Lepisosteus oculatus: one gene and its partners. The protein of the gene in region 3 interacts with the protein of the main gene of each other region in a pairwise test. Links are inferred from orthologs where the notes say so. Each region holds a gene or a part of one and is shown on either strand. Other genes may lie near its edges. The genes, in order: rwdd1, zc3h15 and drg1.

Region 1 (8,100 bases), on a different chromosome or scaffold from region 3:
TCTAGACTGTAACCTGTGCTGGATTACTCATGTTGAGAGTGTTTGCTCCAATGTTCAGCAGCGCTTATATTTCCTGGGAAGACTAAGAGTGTTTGGGGTTCGACAGGATGTAATGCTACTCATTTACCATGCTGTAATGGAGAGCATTATCAGAAATGGTATTACAGTGTGGTTTGGTAATCTATCAGTTCATTTAAAATCACAAATTACCACCTCTTCCAGACAGCTTTGAAGGTCATGGGAGTGAAACAGCATCCCTCCCCGCAGACAATCTTTGAAAAATCCAAAATCAAACAGGCTGGAAAAATGATATAAGATCCTTCCCACATCCTCAGCTGTGAATATCAACTTCTTCCTTCTGGCAAACGTTCTAGGGTTCCCAAATGTAAGTCAAACAGATACAAACGTTCCTTTGTTCCACTATCCATTAAAGCTGTCAACGCAAATGTCAAGGATGAACACAATTTTGACTCTGAATAAAGATATAATAATAATAATAATAATAATAAACTTTATTTTATATAGCGCCTTTAAAGGTGGCTTCTCAAAGCGCTTTACAGGATGACAATAACAATAAATAAGAAGACTACAACAATAAATAAGAAAAATTTCACAAGACAGGACACAATTATAATTACAGCAATACAACAATAACAATAGAGGAGACCGTGGAAGATGGTATTAAGAAGAGCAGAGGGGTGAAGAATGGAACCAGTTAAGTAAAGGCTTTTCTGAAAAGGAGGGTTTTGAGTCTGGATTTGAAGGAGTTTAGAGAAGGTGACTCTCTAATATCCTTGGGCAAGGAGTTCCAGAGCTTGGGGGCATAGCAGGAGAAGGCCCTGTCGCCTTCTCCTGAAGTAAAGAAGGGGTTAACTGATTCCTTTCTGCACAAGGACTGGACTTCTTGTGACACAAGACATTCCAGGCAAGTTAAGGCAGGAAAGTGGAATAACTGATAAGGATTCCAGATGCCAGCTAGAAACCCCCCCCCCCAAGGAAGGAAACCTAAAACTGACCATTAAGAGTGGTCAGAGCCTGGGGGCTGTCCGAACACCGCGACCTCCCCCCGTTACCATGGTAACGAGCTACCGCCAGAAGCTGCTGAAAAGTGCTATTTAAACTGGAAGTTTTGTACCGGTATTTCGAATAATACTTCGGTTTTATTGTTCCTTGCATGCAATAAAACCAATCTCTTTAAACTTCATCTCGGAATCCAGAACTTATTTGTCTGTTACAACAACTCAAAGCGCAATATGTTTTGTGATGTGTTATAAATGTTACACGTTGTTATGCTGTCTACTTTACATGTGCAATAGAGTGATGTGCAATGTTTTTCTTATTTTTTGTAATAGCATAATGTGCAATGTTTTTCTTTTCTTCTTCTTTTTTGTGTTTGCATTCTATTTAAATGTACAGGAGTGCTGTGTGTCCATAAACAATTTCCCTCAGGGGACAATAAAATCTTATCTTATATTGATACCTGTTTTTTATCATGGGGTAAAAGTAGGGTAAAAAGACATTCCTTACTCTGGGGACCAGGCATGGAAGAGCGGTCCTGTCAGGGGAAACGTAGTTCACAGATTAAGATGTCAATGTGAGCTCTGTTTCACCTCTCCCTATGGATCCAGTAAACCATCCCAATGTCCACAAACACACTCTGTGGCTGCAGATGGAATTTTCCATCTGGGTCCAAACAAATACTTTTTTGTATAATGTAAATATGGTAACTTTGTGATGCTTATGATGTGCATGCTATTTATGTCCCTCTAAGAACTGTCCAGATTGCAACAGGAATTGTCACACGATCCAAGGATAGCTGGTTGCACAGGTCCGAAAACTACTCCAGTAGATGGAAAAGCAGATGAAGAGAGGGAGGAAGAAGATAAATATATATTTGAATATACTACAGAGACTACTGTATGTTTTGGGAGAGTTTAATTGGTCATACTTTCTATTACTGCAGCTGTAGACAGATCATATAACACCTTGGTCAAAGGTCCGAAGTGTGAATTATGGAATCCCATGAAGAGTACAAGAGTACGGTATATACCCAAGTGCTCAAGGAGTATTAGAAGTTACTCTCTCCTTCACCTCTGCTGAATATAAACAAGTCCCGGTGTGAGGAATGAGCATGTGATAGGTTTGCCAAGTCTATAGCTGAGATGCATGATTGGTATTATTAATATACTGTATACTTAGGACAGCCTTCACCTAATAACTGCACAGCCATTGCATTGTTAAGACTAACCAATGTATCTACTGTATGCATGCCCCCCCTCATCCCTATCTTTTTTCACTCTACCTTAACAACCCTTTTGCCCTTCCCTCAGATATCTATTCCTCTTCTTTCTGATTTCACTCTACAGGCAATCATAAAAATAATAATAATAAACTTATATAGCACTTTTCTGGACACTCCACTCAAAATGCTTTACAGGTAATGGGGACTCCCCTTCACTATCACGCTCCACCACCTGGATGAAGCAACAGCGGCCAGAGTACGCTCACCCCACACCAGCACCGACAGAGTAATGAAGCCAGTTCATAGATGGGGACTATTAGGAGGCCATGATTGGTAAAGGCCAATGGGAAATTTGTCCAGGACACCCCTACTCTTTCCGAGAAACGCCCTGGGATTTTTAATGACCACAGAGAGTCAGGACCTTGGTTTTACATCTCATCCGAAGGACAGCGCTTTTTTACAGTATAGTGTCCCCTACTGGTCCCACTAACACCTCTTCCAGCATCAGTCTTCGCTTTTCCCAGGAGGTCTCCCATCCAGGTACTGGCAAAGCTCACACCTACTTAGCTTCAGTGTGTTACCAGTTGTGAGTTGTAGGGTGATATAGCTGCTGTCTTCTATGTGAGCAGCACTGGTTATAAGGCCCCAAGAGTTGACCAGACTGTCATCAGCACAACCACCTGCTCCCTGGAAATCTCTGATGAGCCCTGATGACCTGCAGTATTGTGGTATCAACACCTCCTCAACATTCCACACATAGAAGGAGCTCATCAGGGCCAACTCAATTAAGCACAGGCCAGGCTTATCCATTAATTAGGAACCGCATTCACTATTTATGCTCAGATATTGAGTCACAATAGCATGTGGAGTTGCTGGTTTTGCCCCAGGACTCTTCCCATTCTAATTTCTCCTATTATTCCATTTCTTGTTCAATAAACCATTAAAACTTTGCCACTGAACTGACTCTGGTAATTACCAATTTGCTGCACCCTATTTTCCATCTATGGGTGTGGCATAACAAGTTTGCCTACTAGAACTGCTCTTTTATCCCAAACACCATTTTCCCTCTGGTCTTCACTAAGAAGACTGTGCAAGTCTCTGCCATCTAGTGGTGCTAAATCTCCTCTCATTCTATTTTCTACTACTGTAACCTTCCGTTGGCTCCAATGTGTGCATGCAAAAGTTAAATTGAATATTATTGTGATTGATATGGCCTCGGCGAAACAATCACTTTTCTGTGCGATATATTGCTTTTGCAAACCCAGGTATATATTGTTGTTTCTTTCTGATAATATTAATAAACAACAAAGTATTCTCCAATAATGGAGCTTTTAAGCTAGTTGTGTGATGCAGTATCCTAACAGAAGACTTTAGTGTTCATATTTTAGCATACAAAATGGAATTGTTTTGGTAATTTTCGGGTTGGGGGTGGCATGGTGTTCATGATGGATTTAGAAAAGGTAGGTCTTACCAATTTATTATTTGGACAAACAACAATTGCAATGGATACACACATGAAATGCAATATGGTGTATTTAGATTTTCTGATTTTTTTTTATAAAGTTCCTAAAAAAAGCCTTATTTACAATTTGCATTTTACAGACATTCAGGGAAATTAGTGTTTGGATTGAGGATTGGTTATTAAATAGAAAACAGAGGGTAAAAATATGGGATGAATATTCAAACTGAGGAAATAGTGAATTACTGTACTATGGGGGTATGTACTTGGACCACTGCCCTTCTTAATTAATATTAATTTAAATCTTCTAGACGATGTAGAAAAGCAGTAAATTAGGCAAACAAAATAATAAATACTTCATAAACATAATATATACTTCATTGACACCTGAAGAAGGCTCCACGGCCGAAACGTTGTGTTCTCTTTCTTCTTTTTTTCAGCATGGAATAAACCTATTACTTGTTCCTTTGCAGCCTACGCATGCTGACGCAGCTACCCACCTGAACTACTACCGTATACTTCATAAATGTAGAGTTCAAAATCAAAGAATGTTATGTTTAAAATGTCTAATGCACCAATTAGGCCACACTTAGAAGAGTGTATACTATTTTAATCGCCATGTTATAGGAAATATATTGCTGCTCAGGAATCTGTCCACAGAAGACAAACCAAATATCTGCAGCCTTAAGGGTATATTCAACACTGACAGGCTGAAGAAACGGACCCTTTAGTCTTGAACAGTAAAGATTACAAGGGGGCCTGACATGGGCATGGGCATGAGCATGATTGTTCAGGTGGGTAGCTATGATGATATAATGATGAAGACCAGCAGACACACCGACCCCCCGGCACCCAGACTGGACATAAATGCACTATTTTCTCTCGAGCCCTGATACAGCCCTGCGAACACCAATATTTTGATGCTTTCTAGCGTACAGCAGAAAGATCATTTTAAATATTTGACAAAGTGATCAGGACAACAAATACAAAAAACCTACATTAATTTTCGGTTAGTACTCCAGTATATCTCGTATTGAAAACAGGAAGAAGTATTCCCGCAATTCTTAACGTATCGTTAATGTATACAAACTAATTAACATATAAATCGCACCACACAGAATACTATACTTTAACGTGCTACAGCTCACCACCTACAAACTCTTCATTCCAAACTATACACCCATGCCATGTGACTAGTGTGCGACCTTCCACGTAAGGCCCAGACTAATCAATTAAAGATACAACTAAATACGATAAAAATGGTATTTTAAATGAAAAATAAAATACAAAGAAAATATTCCGAGTGTTTCATTGTATACAGAAATAATTATTCATCCTATATTGTTTTTAAACGCGTTTTATCAACAGCGATGAAGACCTGACTCGTGATTGCCGAGAAGTCGATCTCTTTCAGGCCTCATTTGCGGGTTGTTCATTTGTATTTTTTGTAATATAGTAATCAATGGGAAATTGTGAGAAAAAATGACAGATTACGGAGAGGAGCAGCGGAACGAGTTGGAGGCATTGGAGTCCATATACCCGGATTCGTTTACAGGTATGTACTGTAATATTTTTAAACTAAGCATAGAGTTTGTAGAAATTTCAGAGAAAACGTGTAGTGTTTGCAGCTGCAGCAAGTTCTGTCAGGAATCTGTACTTGGGTTTCCTATTTTTTCTTATTTTCTAAGCTTTCGAAAAACGATATCTGCTACAAAATTAGATATGTCGTAATATATTAGGTGTTATTGTTCCAGTGCTGTTTGGTTTTTAATGAAGCGTTATGTTTGCAAGGCTAGCTGGGCAGTCGCATAAAGCAGCTTCAGTTTATGCAGCAAAATCAGTTATGCAGTGCGTGAATATACAATGCAATAGTTAAATGTAGACGCAAAACATTCGAGCATTTCCGATAATAACTCAGGCTTATACATTTCCACATTCTCTGTACAAACGTACGGGTTATCTTTTATATGTTAATAAAAGCTATCAAATCCATACATGCATAAGCCTTATTTGATACATATTCATATCTCGTATAATATACGTTGTTGTTGTTATTTAGTAATTTAATAGTATTGTAATGGTTAATTTGTATTGTTCTTTTTATGGCCAGTGCTTTCAGAAAACCCTTCAAGTTTTACTATTACTGTGACTTCTGACGCAGGCGAAAATGATGAAAGTAAGTACTGAATTTTTGTTGAAGCTCAAGTAGTTAGCTGAGTCAGCATGCGTAGACTGCAAAGGAACACTTAAAGGTTTATTCTGTGCTGAAAAGGGAGGAAAAAAACACAACGTTTCGGCTGTGAAGCCTTCTTCGGGTGTCACTTCGGGTCACCATTACTTGTTCCTGAATATTTGTTGTGTGTGTATCGATTGTATCATGCATATTCACAAAAACCAAAATATTTTATTATAAAATATTAAATATGCACATAAACACAAATCGATGTTTAAGTACAGTATATATGCATACTGTATATAAAGAAAGTTACAAACGAGAGGAGGACATTCAGCCCATCTAGTTCATTTGGTTGCTGAATTAAATTAACTTGCAGATCTCCAGAACCAGATCTAATTTAATATATTAGTCGTTTCCTTTTTATTTCCTATTCTCTTTGAAACACTTAGACTATCACAGCTCTTTTCCTTTCTGATATTTTATTTTTACCTGTACTTGCAGTACATTCAATTTTTTAACTAACATTTTTTTTGATTGTCTTAGATTTTCTTAAACCATTTGTGTCACTGCTTTCTTGGTTATATTTACTTACTCATGGGAGGAATCTATTTGGTGATTCAGGTAGATTATATTTACAGTGCTGCTGTTTTAATCAAATGCTGTTAGAAGCCTGATGGAAATCTTTATGGCACTGGATGTTCTGCCATCAGTCACTGACCAGTTATTTATGAAGTTTTCATAGATCTTGGTAGCTCAAAGCTAACAGAACTGGTTATACCGACTTTGCGGAGAAGCAAGAGAAAAAACTGTCAAAGGTAAACATGGCAGAACATGCAGGTGTCTATAACATCCACAGAATGTTATCTGTTCAGCCAGGGAGTTACTTCACACAGTGTCAGTCATTCAATTAGAAATAAAAACACTGCCCTCTGACCTTTAGAAGTGGGGTCATCATGGTTGTGTTTGTGGTGCACAGCTGTTTTCAGAAGGTATTATTTATTTATGAAAGGATAATGAATGTTTGCAAATATGGATATTTCACTTGTGATAAAGTGACTTTGTATAAATAACTAACTGTATCAGAATATATCATTATAACAGAAACTAACATTGCAAATTTAAACTAAAATTTGATTGTTATGCAAAATCCATGATCTTTTTTGATGTATGCTTACTGAAAATTCTTTCTTTTTTTCTAGCTGTTCAGACTACTTTGAAGTTTACGTATGTAGAGACGTATCCCGATGAACCTCCACTTTATGAAATTTTTTCACAGGATAACCTTGAAGACAGTGACATCACAGACATACTAACACTATTACAGCAACAGGTGAAGAGATGTCTCCCATTGTATTCCTGTGCATTTTCACTTGGCAACTGAAACACCCTTTTGTGCTTCACATCTGCCTGTAAGAACAGGTTGATGGTCTGTAAAGTGATTGCTGCAGTTCCTGACATATACATTATCTTACATGTTGCAAACTATCACACCAGTGTCCATTCTTGGGCCTGCATACGTTTTATTGTTTCATATTATTAGTAAAAAAAAACCAACAAAGTGGTGATTGATTTAAGGTATCTTTAGGTATCAAAACTGCTGCTATTACCCCAGTGCCAAAGAAGCCTAACATGGCTCTCGACAATCTTAACAACTTTTGCCCCATCTCCAACTTACCCTTTCTCTCTAAAATTCTAGAACGTGCTGTCACACTTCAGTTACATAACCACCTCATGACAAACAACCTTTTCGAACCCCTCCAATCTGGCTTCCGTCAACTTCACAGCACAGAAACCGCCCTAGTCAAAGTCACCAACGATCTCCTAATAGCTTCTGATTCTGGTTCTCTTTCCATACTCATCCTTCTTGATCTCAGTGCTGCCTTTGACACTGTTGACCATAACATCTTGCTTTCTCGTCTCGAGACTGTTTGGAGTCTCTGAAACTGCCCTCAAATGGTTTAAGTCTTACCTCACTGATCGCTGTCACTTTGTCTCTCTCAATGGGTACAGGTCTGAAATTGGTCTTGTCAAGTCTGGTGTCCCTCAGGGCTCAATACTGGGCCCCTTGCTCTTCAGCATTTACATGTTCCCACTTGGTCAGCTTTTAAGATCACATGGCCTCAGCTTTCATTTTTACGCTGACGATACTCAAATATACATCCATACCAAAACCGACACTGATGTGGCTGTCTCTATTCTATCTAATTGCATCTCTGACATAAA
Region 2 (7,829 bases), on a different chromosome or scaffold from region 3:
TATTACACTTTAAAGGAAAAAAATATTGTGCGGTAGTTAGAAACTGTCTATTACTGTTTAGAAGGCAAATAAACTGCATATCTTCGGAAAAGTGAATATTATCTTCATAAATAGTTCACTATATAAACAGTACAGTTTTTAAGAATTTTTCATGCCGATAATATAATAACCCTGAAAACAAACTGCCTCTTTAACAGACTTGAATCACCCTAACACAAGTCATAATCTTTGCATTGATTCTATTTTGATAGTGGCAATTATAAAAAGTACATAACGCAAATGCTGTTTTTATGGTTTTTAGACAGAAACATGATAAGGGCCATGTTTTATTTTGCTTCATCCTGTCAATCCAAATATCTGAGTGTTCTCATCCACAATGAATGAATAATTCAAGACATTTAAAAGAAAACTACACAGGATAACAATCTGCTAATGATCACCACCATTCAGATATTTATGATTTAAAAAAAAACTTAGTTGGAATTAAGAGGGCAGTTAAAAGCTAATTTAAAGGTATTCTCAAATTAAAATCCACCAGACAGTAACATAATTACAGGGTTGGCTACTTGTTAAGAAACTTGTTAATTGCAAGATGAAATTATTTTAAATTCAATTACAAGTTCCAGTCTACTCATTTTTCAAAACAGGGAGTGTTTGCTAAGCATGAGCACCTTTTAGTAGTAGTAAGCAGGCATATTTAAAATGTTTTAAAATTAATTTACACATATAAACAAGTTCAAACAAGTTGTGAAATGTAATATTTTGAAAGGGCATCCTTACATTAAACTGGATAATCTGTCAGTACTGCAAAGCTAATTAGCATTTATGTAGTGCGAATTTGCTCATCAATCACAAATGCCACAACAACTTACTGATGATCAGCTGTCCTTGAGTTTTCCCACTTTTGATTACATATTAGTGAATTGATGTATCAAATTAAAATCCTGTTTCTCCCATAGATGGCTTGTATTAAACCTCTTTACAGTGTGAGAATGTATTGGTTTGGAAAGCAATATGGCAGATCACTTGCTTATAAAGTAGTGTCATCTAAATTAATATAACTGGTCTCAATCCAGCTTTTATTTCATGATTTTTTGTTGCTCTGAGAAAATAAAGTCTATGCATTTATTATTGTTCATAAATTATTTTTTATTGTTGACAAAAGAAACAGGTCATTTATTCATAAATACAAAATTAAAGACATGAGTCCATGTATATTTTACAGTACATTAAAATGAAGGATTTAACTTAGCAAAAGGAAATACATGATCCTTAAAAATATATTCCATTTAATGTATCTTTTTACTGAACTGACAAAATATTAACAAATATGATAATGGTATTCCCAGGTAAAATACAATTTCAAATCACATACCTTGAGTTTATGGTTTATTTTACGACAGCAAAATGGAATGGACTAGTACATTTGGTAGCACCAGTTAATATTTTAGTTCTGGGAGTGAGACAACTAGTTATATCAGTCTCTGAATTTCACCTACTTTCAACACTCAGCAAAAGGGCAGTGATGTAGTCAGAACATGACAGTGATACAATCCAGTGACATGACTTCAACTTAACCGAACCATTTTTCACATATATAAAACAAAACAACAATACATAACTTACCTTTACTGATTTTCTGAGCTGCCACTACTGGCTTGAAGAGCTCATTTAATTCAGAAAGTTCCTTCTTCTTATCTGCCTTCTTGTTCTTCTCTCCTTCAGCTGCAGCCACCTGAATTAAAGAAAAAGCAACACCAAAATTGTTTTTGATGAGGCTAAAGAATACTTTCTAAGCCCTGGCTGAAGAGCAATCCTGTATGCTCAAGAAGGCTTACTTTTACATTTTGAGTTTTGACAATTACAATAACAATTGAGTGCTTACATGTATTAGGAATTTAAGTGGTGAGTTTCACTATTTTGATCATTAACATAGGGTTGTAAGCCTTAAGTATACCAGAGAGCTATTATTGCCTATTCAGTCTGTAAAATGACATTTATTTCAACAACAATGATCATTTATTCACAAACAATAACATAATAACATAAAATGGAACTACAGAAACAACAAAGCATAAAATGTGACAAAATACCTTTCTTTTAAACAACAAATGTTTCAGAAGGCAAACATCTCAAGAACTTAATCCTATACAGATACGACTTTCAGCTGATGGTTTTACCTGTCGCGCGTTCTGCTGGCCATACTTCACTTGTTGCGTGACAGCCTTGATGAATTTTTGCTGTTTGGCTCCCTTCTTATTCTTCAATCCAAAAGTCTTGTCCTGAATACAGATAAATAGAACATAAACAATGAGAATTCATTCCTACGCACCAGTTATTTTAATAACAATACCCCCCGCCCAAATACTTATCATTTATGCTTTGTGTGTGTGTAATTTGCGTCAAGTATGCTTTGCTACAAAAACACATCCCGTTGATTAATGACAGAGACGCGACTGTCGGGGGGTCCAAAATCTGAAGAAGACAGTATCAGATAGCGCTCGTTCTTTGAGCCAGAAAAGGAAACCGCAAAACTGAATTTATTACGAGATTTGGTCGGTTAAAGCCCCGCTCGGTTTTATAAGGCATAACTATGGTTTTCTCAGACTCAAGACTAAAATTCCGTAAATTCGACCACACGAATGCGATCCACAACACTACCCAACTGTCATTTTTCTTACAGTTTCACAGTTTACCTAAAACTGTGCGAATCGACTTCTACAGATTAAAATCGAAAAGCCCTATTTTAAAGAATTACAAGGGCTGTCAATTTCCCGATTTTAGCACATCACTATCTACACGAAAATGATCACCGCATCCGTAAAGCCCTAAACTACAGCCGGCCAGGCTAGGCCCGAAATGCAGCATGGTTCAAAATAGAGGAGTTGCAATTTACCGGTTGTACTTTTTTAAATAAAATAAAACACCATTTCTCTAACCTCGATAATTTTCTCCTTCTTCTTTTGGTCGGTTTTCTTATTAGCCGCTGGTTGCGCTGGTTTCTTTGGAGGCATATCGAAAATTAAGGTGCTGAAAAAAGAGCTCCTAGTCTCCGGTTAGGTGGATGAAGCGCTGGCTCAGTCGGCGTTCAGGCCCCGATGACTCTCTGGGAAATCAGAGTCTCGAAAAGCATTATGGGTTAGAGGCAGAACTCCCATAGTTCTAAATTCATTGGCAAAAAAAAAAAATCTCATGGTTGTATAAGTACTCCAAAGTTTTTGCTTCTTAAAAAAAATATTGTGTTATATGAGAATAAGAACTTTAACTTGAATATTAGTAAAGATATTCGATTTGAGTAACCTTTCTAAGACGTAAAATAATACAAAACTGAAGCTACAGTATGTTAAATAATGAAAAAAGCGATTGGTATTGGTAAGGATATGGGCAGACTAATGTGAAAATTAGCGTGGAAAAACTGAGTAGGTTTATGGAATATTTGTGATCATAGATACCAGTACTGTACTGTATGCCAGTACTCTTTTATTTTAAGAGGCTATTAAACAGCGTGTATACACTGCTACTGTCTTTTGTTTATTTAACGTTGCTTTTCAAAAATGAAAAAACGCTGTGATACTGAATCATGGATCACTCTTTTCAATCATTAATTTTAGAGACTAATTTTTTGGTTGGGTAAATCTCCAACCACAAGTTTGGTGCTTTTTTCCTAAGACATATTAATCATATTATGGCATACTATGGTATGGCAACTGCAGTACTGCAGTACACTGACCGCAAAGCCCTACAGCGGGTGGTGAAAACTACCCAGTCCATCACTGGGGTTGCCCTCACATCTATACAGGACATTTATGACAGACGGTGATTGAGGAAAGGTCTAAGCATCATCAAAGACCCCACACACACCAGCTACAGACTGTTGTGACCTCTACTATCTGGAAAACGGTACTAGAGCATTCGGGCCCGGACTACCAGACTCAGAGACAGTTTTTACCCTCGCACTATCAAACTATTAAACTCCCAGCCTCTCTCACTCTCACCTCACCTCTCACCTATGATCTGAACCTCACAGTGCCTTCTTTCTTACTAAAAACTCAAACACACATTGAAATCTACCTTTACCTTACATGTCAAAAAGCTCACTCTCCATAACTTCTATCCCTTTATTTAATTCTGTTGATGCATGTTTTTGCACATCTGATGTTGTTTTTTCACATGACCTGTTACCCTTTTGTTGTTTTGCAGATTGCCTGTTGTTGTTTTGCACACTGCCTGTTGTTGTTTTTGGACGTTGCCTGTTGTTGTTTTTGCACACTGCCTGTTGTCTCTGTCTTTCTTTTGTTATACAATTGTATTGTTTTTTTCTGTACTACTTATCGTCCGAGAGCTAGCTAAATAGCATTGCGTCATACCGTATATATTATACTGTATATGAGTAGAATGACAATAAACTTTAACTTAAACTTGATCATATGTACTGTACTTTGCAAATGTTCATACTATATATTCACTTCTGTCTCCCCTGGGGGCAGTAAATATCATAAAACAAAAGCTAATGATACTGAAACAGTTTTGCCTCAGAAGTCATGTAATGGGAAATTATAATTGATGTAATTAATAATTAATGTAATTGGGATATACAGAATAAAACAATACATTACTTAAACTTGCAGAAAAACACATATCATTTAACTTTAGATTGAAAACAATGGATGTCATTGCATGAAAGTGACTGCTTAGGTTATCACCTGCAAAGACAAAGTTTTTAATAAGACTAGCTGAAAGAAATTTTTGTCAACCACCAACACTGAAAATAAACCCTATCTGGAATTCAACATTTCACGTAAAACTTGAAAAAAACATTTGTTCCATAATTATCTGTGGTTTATCAGATCACCATACATCTTGTCATTTTATACGGCCGCAGACGTTAAGAAAGGCTGGGCTTAATCTGTTTATGGATGGGAGACTTCAACAGAAAATCAAGTTGGTCCTGCAGGTATTGTTGGTGGGAAGGTACAGTAGGTGGTGCTCTTGCCCCTGGAACAGAATTAAAAAAAATCATTTTCAGTATAGTGACTGTAAAGACTGTGGTGTGTAGGAGCACTGCTCTGTCCAGATGTATAGTTAAACTGAGATTTAAACTATGTGCTCATTAAAGATCCCATGGTATTTTTTTATAGTAGGGATATTAACCGCAGCTTCTTGGCAAAAATTCAGTCATAGCCTATTTACACTGGCCTTCCTAAACTTTCAGTTTAATTGAATTTGTGAATACATTTCTCACTTTTAGAAATTATTTGCTGTGTGGGCTGTTGGTGCTAAATGGGTACCCCATGTTAACCAGGCGGGCGATGTACTTTAGTGGTAGATGAAGTGGGTCTCTTCCAATATGTAAAAAAGCTTTGTAATAAAATATATTCTATAAATCCCCCCAAAATTAGAATTTCCGGAGGCAATCATATTGAAGCATAATAATAGTATCAAAATGTATCCAAATTTTCTATCTTTGAAGCACAATATTTCATAAATATTTTAAAAATCAACCCTCTGCAGTTTCTGTAAAGCCACCTTCATTCAAGGTTTTGTCATAGTCATGATATTTGAGACTGATATTAGTCCTTCCAGAACTAATGGCACAATCATATCTCCTTTGTAGATCACCTTGCTTTTAATTAAAGTTGCACACTACGCAATGGTAAATGCTATGGTAATGAATACAAAGTTACTGATCAAAGTAGCAAACTAGATCATTCATTACTACAAGATCGTGCCTCATTAATATTTTTTTGAATTGGAGATTTTCTTATCCTTATACATATATACAGTAGATCAATATTTTAAATATGCAAAATGTCATGGATTCCGGTTGAGATATTTAAATAGATACCTTGCATAAATGAATAGGTAAAGGTTAATACCACACTGAAAACTAGAATGAAAAACACAAAGTTTTGGATGTAGAGCCTTCTTTAGGTGTGTGAGGCTCCCTACTCAAACATCATGGATCTTAAATGCCTGTTATATTACTGTATGTACGCATTTCTTTGAATGAGTTATTATCAAATAACTCTGTATTTAACAGCAGATTTAAATTGCCAATTAATTTTAATGGATGATAAATTTTCACATATTGCATGGTTGTTTGCGAACATGAATCAGATTTGATTAGCATTTTCTACATTACTTGTTAATTATTGCTCAGTAGATAATATAAAAGCACTGATCAGGAATTAAAGCTAGCATGTCTACCATTGACAAAAGTCAATTTTTATTATGCAGAGGACAATAGTGCATCATCAAGTTTTAATTTAGAATGTTGAGAAATACATACAGTAGTAATTTGATTTATGAATACTACAACACAACTATCATTACATACAGCACATTTTTAATTTAAATTACTTACATTCATGTAGTGCACCCAATTACTATATTGTCTCAGTCTAATCATATCAGATATTCTACAGAAATACTCTGTGAATCTGTTTTCTGTTTTCGGGTAATTTTTAATATATGTAAATGTTTAACCCACTGTCCACTATGATACTTTTGTGTTCTAATTACTTTGCTTTCTCTCTTATGCTTAAGATATGAAATACATTTTTAAGACATTTTGTCTCTGTTGCCTGCTCATAAATTGTATCTTATTTAATTTAACTCCTACACCATGATGTAATCTCAAGTATCCAGCTTTTGAAAAGCACTGTGTGCTTCAGTTTGTAACAAAATACAAAAACTGCATATCTAAAGTTTGCCTCATGGTGGCATTACAATCATTCTAAAACACATTACATTCTGCATGATCTAGATTGCTTCAAAGTGGAATTTACAGTTTAAGTGTATTATATGAAATATGAAACTGTAACAGTGTGAAACAATTGCTATTTTAAAGGACACAGGAGTGGTTCAGGATGGGATTAAAAACAATTCCTTATGATTACTAGAGGGAAGAGGAAAATTTTATGAAAAGCTTCTAAATTCTAAGTTCTATACTTAGAACGTTCTCTTGTAAATGTAAAATTATAGCTAAATTGAATTATTAGGCTGTACTAAATACTATATTGCCATACAGCAGTAATACCCCTGAGAGAGGATCTTCTCAATGCACTTGTATAAATAGTAACCTGCATTTCTGGGGATAACTTTGTATAGCAGGTCATTTTTGCACAGCACATAGTTATTGCGTCAGTTGTAAGCTCTGTTTAAACTGGTGACTAGTTTTATTTCTGTTCCAATGAGGCTAGAGAAAGCCAGTATGGCGTAAGATATACCAGTCCTGCTTTGCCACTGTGTCTTGGTTGTATGATATTGTGCCCTGTCTCTGGGATAAAAACACTCATTTGCCGTTATACTGTATGTGGATCTCCTCAGTTTCACTGAAACCCACACTAATATATTTCTGGTGGAAGAGTGGGATTGGAACCCATGCTCCGGAAGAGACTGGAGGACAAGAGAAGAATCTTCTTCAGCCATCCCTACCTGTTTCTCAGGTTCCTGGAGCATAACGATATAACACATCAACTCCTGTTTACCTGAGCCAGACACCACTCGAGGACCACCAGCAACTCATCCCCACCAACTTCCCCAAAATGGACTTGTTCTGGTCATCCTATCAAGCCTCTAACCACTTTAAAAGATTTTGTTTGTGTGTACACTATCTCAACTAGTCTGTTCTGAGCTATAGTGTAATCATTACTATATTGCATTATACTACAATTAGCCCCTGCTAGTCATGTATTGTGTCTTATCTGCCAGAGAAAGGGATGTTTCTTACCCTGTAAGAGACACATATAAACAGTATAGCAGACGGGTAGTTATTTAGTAAAGTTAGTTGTAAATTCTGTTTAATTTGGTTACACTATTTTTACTTT
Region 3 (7,306 bases):
GTGCAGGGGTGGACCCCTGTCCCCAGCCCGGAGGAGTCCCGCCCGGCGCTCCCCTTGCGGGGCAGGAGCCCGACGCGCCCCCCCTGCGGGGCGGCCCCCCCCGGACTCACCTGGAGAAGCCCTTGCCGCAGCTCTGGCAGACGTAGGGCTTGCCGACGGAGCCGTCGTGCGAGCGCACGTGGTAGGACATGCGGTCCTTGCGCTTGAAGCGCAGGCCGCACACGGGGCAGGCGTAGGGCTTCTCCCCGGAGTGGGACAGCTTGTGCCGGTTCAGGTGGTACACGTCCCGGAACACCTTCCCGCAGACGTCGCAGCCCACGTGGCGCCGGGTCCGCTCCCGCTTGCGGGCCGAGTCCGCCGGGCCGGCGCCGTGCAGCCCCAGCCCGTTCTCCAGCAGGCCGGCCGGGGGCGGGGCCGCCAGGCCGGGGGCGCCCCCTCCCGCCGCCCCCCCCGCCGGGGCGCCCCCGTGCTGCGCCTCGTGCTGCCGGAGCCGCGCGGCGTCCGTGAAGATCTTCCCGCACAGCCCGCAGGGGAAGATGCCCAGGTCCTTGGGCACGCCGGCGCCGCCGAAGAGCAGGGGGTCCATCGCCGGCACCTTCTTGGGGCGCCCCCGGCCCCGCTTGCCCCCCACCCCGGGCTGGGCGCCGCCCCCGCCCTGGAAGGGGTTCCCGGCCAGCTCGGGGCCGCCCACGGGCAGCCGGTCCACCGTCTGCAGGGAGGGCATGACCTGCTGGCCGCCCGCTCGGCCGCCCCCGTCCACCTCGTGCGCCGGCCCGCCGCCCCCGAACACCGAGCCGTTGGCCACCAGCCCCGCGCCGTTGGACATGTCCAGGGGGTAGCCCAGCTCGGGCCCGCCGGTCCGGAAGAGCGCCAGGTCGCCGCGGGCCGGCGGCACCAGGATCTGCACGTTGGACTGCTTGATGACCTCCTGGCAGATCTCGATCACCGAGCGCATGAGCAGGAACTTGGCGGCCGTCATGAGCTCGGGGAAGCACTCCAGCCGCACCACGATCTTGGACGTGTAGGCGAAGTCCAGGATGTCTTTGAAAACTTTGGGGCTGATCGTGTGCATCTCCAACTCCTTCGTCTCCCCGTCCCCTTCCGCCTGACAGCTGAACACCGACTCGAAGTACTCGCTGCACGCCGCCAGCACCGCTTTGTGCGCGGGGAAGCTCTCCTCGCCGACCCGCAGCAGAACGTCGCAGAAGCGGCCTCCGGTGCGGCGCTGCACGTTGAGGTTGTGGAGCATCTCGGCGCTGTGCTTGCTCACCTGATACGTGTACGACGAGCTCCACGGCTGCTCCGCTATCCTGTCCATGTTGCCTTCATTCAAGAGCGACGTATCTCGGCGCTTCGAGGGGGGAAACGCAGGAGCAGAAGTGGGAAATTTAAAAGAAAGAGAGGAGGAAAACAAACCGACCCAACTCGCGGAGAAATCCGGCGAATTTCTCTTTTTAAAAACACACGGCACACGCACCCTCCGACACCTTAGCCCTGCTCGCGTCTCTTTTGCATCTAAAAAAAAAATGTTTGCAGGGAGGAAAAAATGGCAGCCCCCCAGCTTCCTGTGAACTTTGACCTTTGTTTCGGGGGGGGCGGACCAGCCGGGAGGGGGGTAGGGGCACTCGGAAAGCGCTGTGTTTTCCGCGCACCAGCCGGGGGGGTTGAGAGAGGGGGGCGAGGCGGCGCGGGTCGGACTCTCCGGTAGCCAGCGCCTGGACACGGCCGCCGGCTCCGGGCTCGTCTCTCCCCTCCATCCCGGCCTCCGTCTCCTCCCCCCTCCCCCGCGCGATTCCCAGGCCTGTTTTTCCAGCGCGGATGCCCCCTCCCACAGAGGCAGCGCGACACACAGCTCGGAGCGCCGCCGGGATTGCGAGCTCGCAGGGATTCGGCTCCTCCGAGTGACCCGCTAGTAATAACAATAATAACAGTAATAATGATGATAATAGAGACGGGGGTGTGAAATAGTTGGCGAATAAAAGCCGTTTCTACGGTTAACGCTCTCAGCCAAATGCACCGCCGATGCAGAGAATAGAAACTGGATTTTAGGGACCAGAGGGGCTGTTGTTTTTAAAGACCCCGCTCCAGCCCGACCGCGGGGCTGCGCGCGTTTCGGACTCCACTCATCCAGATATCATAAATCCGACCCCCCTCCCGCTTTCCCCCCGTGTCAGGGGGAGTTGGGGGGTAGCAGGTCCCACAGCCGCCCACGGGGCAGCACCGACGCAGGCGGACGCGGGATCCGCAGGTGTGGGCGCTGGGGGGGGGAGGAGCGGTGCATTGTGGGGTGTGGGTGGGTGGGTGTGTGAGTGTGGGGGGGGTAACTCGTAAGTGTACATTCTAGCTTTTTACCGTTTAGCTGTCAGCCGGGGTTCTCGAGTTACAGCAGGGCAGGGAAGCCTCTGTGCTCATTAACTCTTTCGCACTTGTGTGTGTGTGTGTGTGAGCCCTGCAGACGCCACAACAGCCCCCTGCCCCAGGGGGTGTACGAGCACCCCCTGCCCCTGGGGTAAACAACAGCCCCCTACCCCTCTAGGGTGTACAAGAGCCCCCTGCCCCCTGGGGGTGTACTTGAGCCCCTCGCCCCCTGGGGCAAAAGCGATCCCCCTGCCCCCTGGGGGTGTACATGAGCCCCCTGCTCTCTGGGGCAAAAGAGAGCCCCCAGACCCCAGGAATTTACCTGCACTGGTGTGCTTGTCTACCTCTTGGGACGGGTGCCTTATATACCCCTGGGGGCAAGAAAACATTCACTAACGTTGCGGACCAGAGGAAACAACACAGCAGCGGAATAAGAGCAGAAAGTGTCTCTAAATTACAGGTAAATCCAAACATTCCCACGGCACCTTCCAAACATCACACGTGTGAAAGGTCAGTGAACAGAAAAGAGAATATATTGGGGCGGAGCAGTGGCTCTGTGGCTCAGGATCTGCGCCTGTGGCTGGGAGGTTGCCGGTTCAAATCCCGCAGCCAGCAGAGGAATCCTACTCCGTTGGGCCCCTGAGCAAGGCCCTTCACCCCAGCTGCTCCAGGGGCGCCGTATAAACGGCTGAACCTGCACTCTGACCCCCAGCTTCTCTCCCTGCCTGTCTGTCTCATGGAGAGCGAGCTGGGGTCTGTGAAAAGACAAATTCCTAATGCAAGAAATTATAAAGGGTTAGTAAAGTGATATTATTATTATTATAATAGACAGTCCATCCGAGCGAGAAGTTCAAGGAGAGACGGAAAGTGGCGAGCGAGTCAGTCTGATGGGAGAGTTCAACACACAGCAGATGTGTGGGGCAGCAGCTGGCAGGAGACTGCTCTGGCACCACTGCTGAAACGCTCCTATTGCCTTCTGCTCGCCTTGCACGTGGAATCAGCTGTTAATCTCCCAATTATTCCCCTCCTCCCTCGTTTCGGCGCCGAGCTGGGACCGCCACTCCAGGGACACGCTCCGCAGGCTGCAGAGGTGCTGATGGGGTCCGCAGAGCACCCCAGAATCCCCCCCTCCCTCTGCTGGCTCCCCGGGAGGGATTCGTCTTCCCAAAGTCTGAGCCACCGGCCAGTGGGAAGATCCCGGCGTGCTCCGCAAGCCGGCTTGGCTTCCCCATCGGATCCGAGTCGGATCGCACACAGCTGCAGGAGCAGTGAGGACTTGGGGTTTGGCCGGTAGGGAGATGTTGTGGACATGTGGACACACATGCACACAGATACACACAAGCACACACACGCACATACAGGCACACAGACACACACACGAGCACACACACGCACATACATGCACACAGACACACACACATGCACATACGTGCATGAACACACACGCACACAGTCTGACACATGCACACAGACACACACACAATCACACACATGCACACACACATACTGTACGCACGCAGGCACACACAATCACATGCACACACGTGCATGCAGACATACACACAGATACACACACAATTACACTCATGCACATAAATGCACACACAATCACACTCACTCATACACACACATACATGATCAGTTCTTGCACCTCCGAAGGTCCGTAACTGGTGACTTTCAGCAGGGAACTAGTTATGAAGTCAATTCAGCATGAAGTAAAAGCCTAACCTTTGTAGGTCTCAGTAACAGGGCCTTCACAAGCCTGTGAGCTGGGTGACATTCTCAGACCAGTTAGCCCCTACGTGAGAGCACACGTAGGGGGCTGGAGTTGTGCACTGTGAGGCACTGTCGCTCTTAGAGTCCGCAGACATTTCCCCCACGGAGCTGGGGGGGGTGCTGCAGTACCTCCTCCGCACCGCCAGGGGCGCCCTGTTCCCCCAGCGCCGCTGCTGCTCGCTGCGTGGCCGTGGTTTCTCGCGAGAGGCGCTCGCCGTGCCGGAGCCGGGCGTCTGTGTGTGTGAGAGAGAGGAGAGAGGAGCGTGGGGGGCTTGACAGAGGACCGAGCGGCTACCGAGTCTTCACCCTTCGTTATACGCGAGAACTGCGGCAGCGGCGCACCGGCGGGGAGGAAGAAGTTGGTGTCGGACCCACAGCCGCCATGAGTTTGCTGGCGAAGATCGCCGAGATCGAGGCCGAGGTGCGTGTGGACGCTGCAGGGCTCGGAGCAGTGCTGGCGGCCGTCTGATTTGAATGATTCCTGATGTCCTCCGGGTGGGGTCTGTCCCGGCGGGCCGGGGCGTAACGGCTTTCGAACACGGGTCCTGGTCCAAGCCCGGTTCGGAACCGGAACCGCCGAGCGAGCGGGACAGAGGGGTTCTCGCGGCGTCCGAACTCTGTTCTCGGACCCGTGCGTCTGCATCGGGGGGCCTGGACCCCCGGCGGCCTCGCGGCTGGAGAGCTCGGGTCTGGACGGCGGAACCGGAGCCCGAGTGACACACGCAGGCAGGGCAGGGCGACCACACAGGGCGCCGGGCCGGAGGGTGCTCAGCGCTACTGTCTCCTCTCACTGCGACTTGTATTGTTGCTGGTGTCGTTCTGTAAAACGCTTTGAGAAGTCACCTTTAAAGGCGCTGTATAGAATAGTTTATTATTATTACCTTTTGGGTCTGAGAATCTCATCCAGCTGCTTATTCCAGAGCAGCCTGCAGCATGGAGTGTGGAGCAGGCAGCCCAGCAGGACCCTGTGATCGGTGTTGAAACGGGACTGAGAATGTGTGTTCTCCCCTCTTCCCTCTCCTCTCTCCTCCTCTCCCCTTTCCCCCTCCTCTCCCCTTTCCCCCTCTCCTTTCTCCCTCTCTCCCTCTCTCCTCCTCTCTCTCCTCTCCCCTCTCCTCCTCTCCCCTCCTCTCTCCTCTCCTCCTCTCCCCCTCTCCTCTCTCCCCTCCTCTCTCCTCTCCTCCCCTCTCCTCCTCTCTCCCCTCCTCTCCCCTCTCCCCCTCTCTCCTCTCCTCCCCTCTCCTCCTCTCCCCTCCTCTCTCCTCTCCTCCCCTCTCCTCCTCTCTCCCCTCCTCTCCCCTCTCCCCCTCTCTCCCCTCCTCTCCCCCTCTCTCCTCTCCTCCCCTCTCCTCCTCTCTCCCCCTCTCTCCTCTCTCCCCCTCTCTCCCCTCCTCTCCCCTCTCCCCCTCTCTCCCCTCCTCTCCCCTCTCCCCCTCTCTCCTCTCCCCTCCTCTCTCCCCTCCTCTCCCCTCTCCTCCTCTCCTCTCTCCCCTCTCCAGATGGCTCGGACTCAGAAGAACAAGGCGACGGCTCACCACCTGGGCCTCCTCAAGGCGCGCCTGGCCAAGCTGCGGCGCGAGCTCATCACGCCCAAGGGTGGCAGCGGCGGGGGGACGGGAGAAGGTGAGGGCGCTGGGGGTCAGTCCTGGTTGATTCCACGCTGGGTCACAGGGAGGAGCTGGCCGCCCGGACCTGCGCCAGGCGTGGTGCTGGTGGTGCGCCCGGTCCCGCCGCCGCCCCGGCTCACCCGCTCCCGGTGTCGTTGGCAGGGTTCGACGTGGCGAAGACGGGCGACGCGCGGATCGGCTTCGTGGGCTTCCCCTCGGTGGGCAAGTCCACGCTGCTCAGCAACCTGGCGGGCGTGTACTCTGAGGTGGCCGCCTACGAGTTCACCACCCTCACCACGGTGCCGGGGGTCGTCCGCTACAAGGGCGCCAAGATCCAGGTGGGGCGCGGGCGCCGGCCGCCGGGAGGGAGGGGCGGGACGGGGGACGGGGGACGGGGGCGCCCCGATTGTGACCTCCGTGTGCCTCTGTGCTGCAGCTGCTGGACCTGCCGGGCATCATCGAGGGCGCCAAGGATGGCAAGGGCAGAGGCCGGCAGGTGATCGCAGGTGAGAGGAGACGCCCGCAGCAGGACCAGCTGAGGTCCGCGGTCAGGACCTGTGACCCGGGTCCTCAGCGGCGCTGCTGGAGTGAAAACGACGCCTTACTGTCACTTCATGCACGGAGTGCATCATCAGCCATATCACCTTGCAGCTCCCAGCTGGCAGCCCCACTGAAGCCCAGCAGGGTGAGCCTGGTCAGTACCTGGAGGGGAGACTCCTGGGAAAGCTGAGGCTGCTGCTGGAAGAGGTGTTAGTGGGGTCAGCAGGGGGCGCTCACCCTGCGGTCTGTGTGGGTCCTGATGCCCCAGTATGGTGACGGGGACACTGTACTGTAAGAAAGGTGCCAACCTTTGGATGAGACTTAAAAGCGAGGTCCTGACTCTCTGTGGTCATTAAAAATCCCAGGGTGGTTCTTGAAAAGAGTAGGGGTGTAACCCTGGTGTCCTGGCCAAATTTCCCCCTGGCCTTTACAGTCATGTCCTCCTAATAACCCCCATCTCTGAACTGGCTTCATCAGTCTGCTCTCGTCCCCACTGAGAGCTGGTGTGTGGGGAGTGTACTGGCGCATCACCCAGTTGGGCCTGCACACTGGTGGTGGTAGTGGGATTTCTCAATACCTGTAAAGAGCTTTGAATGGAGTGTCCAGAAAGGTGCTACATAAGTGTAAGGAATTATAATTATTATATTATTACTTCTGTGATGTTGGAGGTGTTGTGTCTCAGTGGACAAGCGGACACAATGACTCGCCTGAGTGCGATCCAGTCTCAGGACACAATCAGTGTGGTGCCACAGCTGGCTGGCCCGGAAAAACAATGGCTGCTCTTTGAGTGTGCTCTATCATTTCAGTCCACAGCGTCAGAATGTGGAGCTCAAAGCAGCTTGTGGCTGACAAAGACTCAGAGGGCTGCATTTGGGGTTACTGCCGAGGAGCTGAAGGACCTCTGTAGCTCCACACACAGTTAGGACCAAGAGAACGATAAAACACTTCAGCTCAGTCGGCGTTTTGGTCTTTGTTGAATAACTCTTGAGAGATGAGAACCGTTTCAGAAGGAAATAGGATCAAGC

Evidence for each region.
Region 1: the proteins of drg1 (region 3) and rwdd1 interact in binary tests that used the Homo sapiens proteins (3 or more experiments, as listed by UniProt). The two-hybrid records come from large-scale screens. The link is inferred for Lepisosteus oculatus from reciprocal best matches to the Homo sapiens genes DRG1 and RWDD1.
Region 2: the proteins of drg1 (region 3) and zc3h15 interact in binary tests that used the Homo sapiens proteins (3 or more experiments, as listed by UniProt). The two-hybrid records come from large-scale screens. The link is inferred for Lepisosteus oculatus from reciprocal best matches to the Homo sapiens genes DRG1 and ZC3H15.

What each region holds. Positions count from the first base shown.
Region 1 is NC_090697.1:32,552,256-32,560,355, forward strand, and holds the start of rwdd1 (RWD domain-containing protein 1), read left to right. Parts: upstream 1-5,097; 5' UTR 5,098-5,183; coding exon 5,184-5,256; intron 5,257-5,811; coding exon 5,812-5,877; intron 5,878-7,076; coding exon 7,077-7,207; intron 7,208-8,100. UniProt on the Homo sapiens protein: Protects DRG2 from proteolytic degradation.
Region 2 is NC_090707.1:17,986,978-17,994,806, forward strand, and holds the start of zc3h15 (zinc finger CCCH domain-containing protein 15), read right to left. Parts: upstream 3,104-7,829; 5' UTR 3,015-3,103; coding exon 2,940-3,014; intron 2,283-2,939; coding exon 2,181-2,282; intron 1,736-2,180; coding exon 1,627-1,735; intron 1-1,626. UniProt on the Homo sapiens protein: Protects DRG1 from proteolytic degradation. Stimulates DRG1 GTPase activity likely by increasing the affinity for the potassium ions.
Region 3 is NC_090717.1:733,696-741,001, reverse strand, and holds the start of drg1 (developmentally-regulated GTP-binding protein 1), read left to right. Parts: upstream 1-4,294; 5' UTR 4,295-4,516; coding exon 4,517-4,555; intron 4,556-5,633; coding exon 5,634-5,757; intron 5,758-5,903; coding exon 5,904-6,079; intron 6,080-6,177; coding exon 6,178-6,247; intron 6,248-7,306. Other genes in the region: patz1 (POZ-, AT hook-, and zinc finger-containing protein 1), read right to left, coding at 111-1,318. UniProt on the Homo sapiens protein: Catalyzes the conversion of GTP to GDP through hydrolysis of the gamma-phosphate bond in GTP. Appears to have an intrinsic GTPase activity that is stimulated by ZC3H15/DFRP1 binding likely by increasing the affinity for the potassium ions.